2 linked regions of the Coturnix japonica genome follow. The protein of the gene in region 2 purifies or fractionates together with the protein of the main gene of each other region. This does not show direct contact. Links are inferred from orthologs where the notes say so. Each region holds a gene or a part of one and is shown on either strand. Other genes may lie near its edges.

The links. The genes of interacting proteins can lie anywhere in the genome.
Region 1: the proteins of XPO6 (region 2) and ZMAT2 purify together in Homo sapiens (co-immunoprecipitation; 3 studies listed by BioGRID and IntAct, with this or other methods). This does not show direct contact. The link is inferred for Coturnix japonica from reciprocal best matches to the Homo sapiens genes XPO6 and ZMAT2.

What each region holds. Positions count from the first base shown.
Region 1 is NC_029528.1:15,092,338-15,095,660, reverse strand, and holds the end of ZMAT2 (zinc finger matrin-type protein 2), read left to right. Parts: intron 1-4; coding exon 5-150; intron 151-1,662; coding exon 1,663-1,806; 3' UTR 1,807-2,471; downstream 2,472-3,323. UniProt on the Homo sapiens protein: Involved in pre-mRNA splicing as a component of the spliceosome.
Region 2 is NC_029529.1:11,409,824-11,414,024, forward strand, and holds part of XPO6 (exportin-6), read left to right. Parts: intron 1-583; coding exon 584-773; intron 774-1,513; coding exon 1,514-1,669; intron 1,670-2,866; coding exon 2,867-2,981; intron 2,982-3,446; coding exon 3,447-3,618; intron 3,619-4,050; coding exon 4,051-4,201. UniProt on the Homo sapiens protein: Mediates the nuclear export of actin and profilin-actin complexes in somatic cells.

The DNA.
Region 1 (3,323 bases), on a different chromosome or scaffold from region 2:
CCAGACCAGAGAAACCTGGGCATGTCCATGAGGGTGGAGCGCTCCACGCTGGACCAGGTGAAGAAGCGCTTTGAGGTGAACAAGAAGAAGATGGAGGAGAAGCAGAAGGACTATGACTTCGAGGAGAGGATGAAGGAGCTCCGTGAGGAGGTGAGTGTGGGCAGCAGCTGGCAAAGCTGAACCCCTGAGGAAAGCAGCCCTGGTTCCTTATCCTGTTTAACAAAGATCTTGTACTTGGTAGTGTGGGCTTCTTATCTGCTGCACTGACCGGGTCTGTGTACTTGCTGTTTGTTTTCTTAAGGATAGTTTCTGCTCTGGTCCCTGGAAATCCTTTTTCCTTCTCTATGCATGAGGATAACTTTTGATACTTCAAGCTTCTGCTAAGAGTACTGAAGCCCTGACGGTGCACCTGCTTTGTGTCCCATTACTTGTGTTTGAATTTATGTGCTTTGATAAACAGACCCGTGTGCTTGTTCCTGATCGTCGTGTGGTGTGCTGTGGTTCTGGGGGTTGCTGATTGATTCCTCCTCCATGTGGCACATTGCTTTTGTGTGGCTTTCCCAAGTGAAGAAGGGCTTCATGAGTGGTGTGCTGTGCTGTGGGATGTGTGTGGAGGCAATGGAAAGCATCGGATTCCTCTCAAATCTGGGCTTAAGTGCCAGTTCCCTGAAACAGAGATCAAGTTTATGTCTGAGAAACAACTGACAGAGCTCTGACAGTTAAGGAGCTTCTCTGCATGCTTCTCCTTCAACAGCAGTCATACAAACACCAGACATGCTGCATGTTTGTCTCCCTGCTGAAGCCCCCAGCTTTGCTCCACAGGCTGCAAGTCCTAGTGCTTGGCAGCCCCATGCTCTGCCATGAGGCCTTGGTGCTGCTGAGCCTGCTCAGTCGGGAGAGGCAGGAGACTGCCTTAGCAGTGCTGAGCGTGCAGTGGGTGAAAAAGCTATTGCCAATCTATGCATGACAACAAAGAAAGCAGCAGCAGCAGCTTTTGGTGCGGTTTTCTTCAGGGCCTGGCTGTCTTCAATAGCTGCAGAGCAGTGGATGGTGATGGGAATGGCAGGTTCAGTTGCTAAGTCGGGAGCTGGAGCCATACTTGTGTGTCGCCCAGTACCAGCCTGGCGCTGTTCCAGGGCTTGTGATCCTTACAGAGCAAAGCACTTTGATTAGTGCAGTGCAAAATCTTTGATGCCAAAACCCCCACAGCCACTTAGAGCTCAACTTCTGTTCCAGTGAGCGGCTGTCACTCTGCCGCGCTGACAGCCAATGGGCAGTGACATTCCACATCACAGCCCTTGGAACAGGGCACTTTGTGATGGAAATGCCTCTTGCTTTACCAGCAGCCCCTTCTCAGTGTTGATTCCAGGTGAAATCTCTGCCATCTGCTTGGACGTGAGAGCTGTTGATTTCACGGGGCATCGCTTCGGCTGCATCCTCTGTGTGCGACTTCCCTCCTGGGGTGGGAGTGGGTGGTCTGTAGGCAGTGGGAAACCTCCTGGGAGGCTGCAGACCAAGATTTCTGCTGGCTGTTTTATTTCTTCAGATACAATTTGGGTCATGTTGGTTGGATTTTGAGTTAACTGTGCAGTGCCCGACATCTCAAAAGCTTACCTACCTCAGGAGGTTCAGGTTGTTTTGCTGTTCTCTTCCTCGCTGCAGGAGGAAAAGGCCAAAGCCTACAAGAAGGAGAAGCAGAGAGAAAAGAAAAGGAGGGCAGAGGAAGATTTGACTTTTGAAGAGGATGATGAGATGGCGGCTGTGATGGGCTTCTCTGGCTTCGGCTCAACCAAAAAGAATCACTGAGAAGCTCTGGACTCTTTGTTGAAGCAGATTGTTTTTACCGGGGGGACTCTGGATAATTCTTTTAAGACTTGACTGAGGACTTGTATGTAAATCTCCCAGTAGAAGTTGGCCAGAGGAGTTGAAAAGCGATTCCGTGCTCTACCTGCAGAACAAACTCCACCTGTCTTTAGCTTCCCATCTCCTTCTGTGTCCTAGATCTGGCTGCTCGTCAGTGCTCTTCGGCCTTGTGTGTGCAGGGGAACGTTCTGCTGGGTGCAGTTTTGTGTCAATAAAGTGCAGCAGTTCTGTACGGATGGCATTGTTCAGAGTTATTGTAGTTGTCAGCTGGGCATCGTTGTTGTGAGGTGGTGAGATGCAGAGGCGTTGGGCTTCTTTTTGGGTCAGGTGACGGAATTGTGCCATGGTGAGCAGTGCTGTTCTGTACAGCATGAACCTTTTGGCTTGTGCTAAGCAGGGCTGGGGGCTGCTTGGAGTCTGGGTTACTGAAATTTTCCTACATATTTTATCTGTAAGGGATACTTCCCTGGTTTCCTTTGTGTTTTGTGCCATAACTTTGATATCTTTAATCCAAGGGAGAAGCTCCTCCCCAGGGCTGATCTAGGATAGAGCAAATGAAAGAACAATGTGTGCGATTTGCCCAGAATAAATGGATAGTTCCAATTGGCCCTTTGGTGGGAGTTTGAGTCCTTTGTTTTGATTGCTGCTGCCTCCTTTGAGAAGAGCTGCCGATGTCCCCTGCGGTGCACAGAGCTGCTGGTGGCCTTCAGGGGAGCTCTGCAGAGGGAAAGGCAGATCTTGCCTGTCCTCTCCCTTGGGGCTGCTTGCTCAGCTGCCAGCTCCCCGCTCTGCAGGCAGTTGCTGCCATTTTTTCACATTTTAACGTGGTTCTTCAGATGCAAGTGAGAAATGGGGAGGTGGACAGCGCTGGGGACCTGCATTTCCATTGAACAGACCAGGAGCAGACCAGGGTGCATTCCAGAATTTACCAGCCTTCATATATCACGGGCCACTTCTACCCTGTCTGCTGGCTCTCAGTGTCATTTCACCTCTGCCCTCCCTCAATCCTCTTCATTCCTGCTTTTATTTACTTCAGTCAAACCTTGTGTGACTCATTTTGGGCTCCGGTTGGGGTTTATGTTTTACGTGGCTGGGTTTTTATAGCTCTGCCTTTCTCTCCTCTCTCTTTCATGCACGTTGATGAGATCCTTGTTCTTGCCCTTCTCTGTACTTTTATGAAATTTCCGACCCGAGGAAGGCTGCAATGTGCTCAGCCTGCTCCTCCTAATACATCTCCAACAAATCCTGTAATGCTCTGCTGCTGTTTTAATTCCTTAATCTTAGACTGCTGACAGCTTCATTGCCTCAGGTCTTTCCACTTCAATTCAGATTATAATCCCCGTTGAAGATGCTATTGAAATGATATATAGCCAGTCAGATACAACTGTCCTTGGAGATTTGACCCTTTTAACTTGGCAATCCTCAGACTTCAGCAAACACTCCCTGAGCACTCGAGCTGG
Region 2 (4,201 bases):
GGAATCATAGTGGCAGTTTGTCAATAGTTATCTATTTCAAGCTGCAGCGTAGGGGAAAAAACACAGTTGCAACTCTTAAATGTTACTCATTTCTCACTTGCTGACACAGACCCTGACTGCATTACCTTTGCAGTACTGGCATATTGATTCTGACATGCAGAAAGAGTTGGTGAAACTTCTGTTAGCATTCTGTATACCTCACTCCAAATGAATGTATTAGGATTACTGAAAAGCTGCAGCAAAGATGGGGATTCTGTTGCATTGGGCACTAGCATGGGGGGACAAAGTGCTATACAGACATGGGTGCTTCCTGTCTAAACCAGACAGAGCAATGGAATTGGCATCGTCTTGTTTTGGAGATACAAGGAACATTGAGTTCTTGTTGCACAGAAGGGTACAGAGATGAGAGCTGACTCCAGCTCTGAAGTCACGGAGCTTTGCTTCTCTCTCACCTTGCAGAGTTGCTGGTTGTCACTTGGGCACAACTGCTGCTTTGGGCAGCCATAAAATGTCAGTCTAAGGGTGTCTGTGAGTTATGAGTGAATAGAAAACTCTGAAAACTTCCATGTTTCATCGTTTCCAGGCCCAGGTGCTGGTGTGCAGAGCGCTATCAAATGTATTGTTGCTACCTTGGCCAAATCTTCCGGAGAGTGAGCAGCAGTGGGCGGTTCGCTCCACCAACCACACCAGCCTCATCTCTGCCCTCACCAGGGACTATCGCCAATTGAAATCCAATGCTATATTGCCACAGAGGAAAGTGCAGATGGAGGACAGTAAGTACCCAGTTTCCTAGTGTGTGCTGGCCCTACTGCAGTTGCAGTGCTGACTGTTGGAGGGAGTCATTGAGCTGTCTTTCCAGTAATTCTTTTGGCTGAGAGCTGCTTAGCACATGGGAAGGAGCAATTAGTTTGTTTTTTTGTTAGAAACACTTCCTCTATGGTTTGTAAGGGATGCTTTCACCCCAGGCTGCTGCAAACTGTTCCGTCTTCCTCAGTTGCTCAGGGAAAGTGAGTTTGTAATAGAAATTTGAATGGCACTGATTGCACTGGGAATGCTGAGCAATCTAATGCTGGGACTTCTGGGTTAGTTTATTCAGTGACTGTGTATTGCTCCAATTGTTACTTCCACAAATAGAGATTTGCAATATATTTTGCTATCAAAATAAGCTTATGTTTTCTTGACTGTTCTTTCTTAATCTATGTTGTGCTGGAAATAACGCTGACCTATGGCTTCCTTCAGACTGTGCACCTTAGTTCTCAAGCAATGAGTGCGTCTGTAGGGCTGTAAGCCTGTATAATTTAAGAATGCAAGTTGCCACTGTTACTTGGCTGAACCTATTTAAATGTTTAAAATGTGAATGTACTTTAGAAACACTTCTGACTCCAACCTGGGCTTTGATGTATGTGCTGCCTTGTGTGTTATTTTAAGTACAGCTCACATGAACTTCTCTTCATTTTTTGCCTGTGGGTAGTTTTGACATATGCAGGAAGTATCACCTCTTTTCTTTTTGCAGCCAAAGTGATCATCCATCAGACGCTCAGCGTTTTAGAAGATATTGTAGAAAGTATCTCTGGAGAATCCACCAAATCTCGGCAGATCTGTTATCAGTCGCTGCAAGAATCCGTGCAGGTCTCACTAGCCCTCTTCCCAGCTTTCATTCATCAGTCAGGTATAACCATAGGACAGGTTTAATGCTGTGAGTAGCTTTATCACCTCCCAATAACACCCAGAGCCCATCAGTGTAGGGTCATGGTGTTCATGTGAAGTGTGTGGGCTTGCTGTGCAATGCAGGTCTGTCCTGGTGGGTGGGTTGATTCAGAAGAGGAAAGGGAGATGTGGTGTCATCTACAACACAGTCATGAGGACTTGTCACACTTCCAGTGGGTGGAGATGCCCTTTGTTGTGTTCAGGCAGTGAAAAGGAATGGAGCTTTTCATGAGCACAAAAGAGCTTTCAAATACTACACCTATGATGGGCTCCTAAGATGTCCAGGTTGGATGGGACCTGGGCAAAACCTGGTGATGTGGCAGCCCTGCCCACTGCAGGAGGGCTTGGAACTGTCTGGTCTTTAAGGTCTCTTCCAACCCAAGTCATTCTTTGAGTCAATGTAACTAGGACTGCTGCTTGGCAATCTTATAGCCAGCTCTTACATTTTGTGTCTGATCACTTGCATGGGGCTGCAGCAGCTTTGTGAGGAGCCACTCATTCCAGAACAAACTTCTGGAGTCAGGTGGCATCTTGTCAGTGAAATGCCAATACAAAGACACAGAAAGGATCCAAGGCAGCAAACTGTGACTCCAGTGAATTGCTGCCTTCACTTGCATGAGGCTGCTCACCCATTTTGTGTTGGCTATAAAAGGCTGTATGAAGCAGGACCTGAGTGGTTGCAGCTTACTGTGGCTGTTCAGTAAAGCATACTGGGATTAGCTGCGGTGCAGTGCAACTCTGTGCTGAGAATCACCTCTGAAGTCAGAAGGATTTTCTCAGAGCCTCCCCCCGAAAAAAGAAAAAAAGCTGAATTCTCTCTCTTGGCCACTTCAAGCTGTACTGAGCTGTTGTGGATTTCCTTGCATTTCCTGTTAACCCTGTGTGCAGGGAGCTGCTGAAGCCCAGGCCATTGCAAGAGCTTTCTCCAAGCTGTCTGTGTAGGCAGACAGACCCAGGGCCCTTGTACTTATTCTGTGGTGTTGATGCTGACTGTACTTGTCCAAGTATTGATTTCAATTTCTAATGGCGAAGCTGCTGCTAATTTTTCAGGAATAAATGGGATTCCCTGTACAGGAGGAGCAGATACCACATAAAAGACTTTTTCATGTGTTTGAATGTTGCCTTAACGCACTCTGTTTGCTTTCCTGTTCTGCCTTAGATGTGACGGATGAGATGCTGAGCTTCTTCCTCACTTTGTTTCAAGGACTGAGAGTGCAGATGGGAGTGCCTTTCACTGAGCAGATCATACAGACTTTCCTAAATATGTTCACCAGGTATTGTTTTGTGCTGGTCACTTTTTTCTCATCCCTGGTGATGGTTTATCTTGGCCAGCTAACTAAACACATCCCAGTCCCTAAAGAAAAGAGTGTTGCACTTCTTCCTCTGCATCCAGGTTTTAGTGACCCAGTCTGTGCATGATGGCCCATGTACCTGATGTGCTGTTTCAGCTTTCCCAGAGACTTGACAGTATTGGGAGTGTGTGATACTGAACACTGGACTCTGGCATTACCTGTATCAGCCAGTGTTTTTGTGCACCCCTGTTATCCCTAAAGCTTCTGTGAGGGAAAAGCGTCTATGAGTCCTTAGTCAATACCTACCTCCCTTCCGTGACTTAATGTTCTTAGGCTGTATTAGTTGAGGAAGCTTAGAGACACTGTCTGCTTCCCTTTCAATTTGGTAGGTAAGCATTGCAGATCTCAGGGAAAGATTCCATCCAGCAACTTCATTTTTTGTTGCAGAGAGCAGCTGGCAGAGAGCATCCTCCATGAGGGCAGCACTGGCTGTCGGGTGGTGGAGAAGTTTCTGAAAATTCTGCAAGTGGTGGTGCAGGAACCAGGCCAAGTATTCAAGCCTTTTCTACCCAGTGTCATTTCACTGTGCATGGAGCAGGTGTACCCCATCATTGCGGAGGTAGGAGTGCTCTCACACCAGGTGAACACAGAGGGGGAAGTGAAGGCCTTGCTGGGGCTGTGGGGAGCAAGTGAGGGCTTTGCTTTCCAGGAGCTGTAATGTCAGTCCCAGCACAGGGAGAGTTGGGGAGTTTGGAAGCAGTGTGGGTGGAGGGTTTTGTCAGAGGTTGTTGAATACACTGAAGGTACAGACATGCTCAGAGCAGGAGGTAAAACAAAACTGGATTATGTGTTCTTAGCATGAAGGTGTGATCCAGCAGTTGCTGAGGTTGATGCCTTCCATAGAAGGAAATCCTTCATTCTGGTACCTCGGCTGCAGAGTGCTCCTGGAGGGCCACCACCACAGAGCAGGGTGCTGCCAACAAAGTAACCCAGGGCATAAGTGGGATTCCAGCATAGGAGCCTCTTCTGAGGCGTTCTTCTTTCCTCCTAGCGCTCATCTCCTGATGTGAAAGCAGAGCTGTTCGAGCTGCTTTTCAGAGTCCTCCATCACAACTGGCGGTACTTCTTCAAATCCAGTGTTCTGGCCAGTGTCCAGAGGGGAGTGGCAGAAGAGCAGATGGAGAATGAAGCACAGTTCAGTG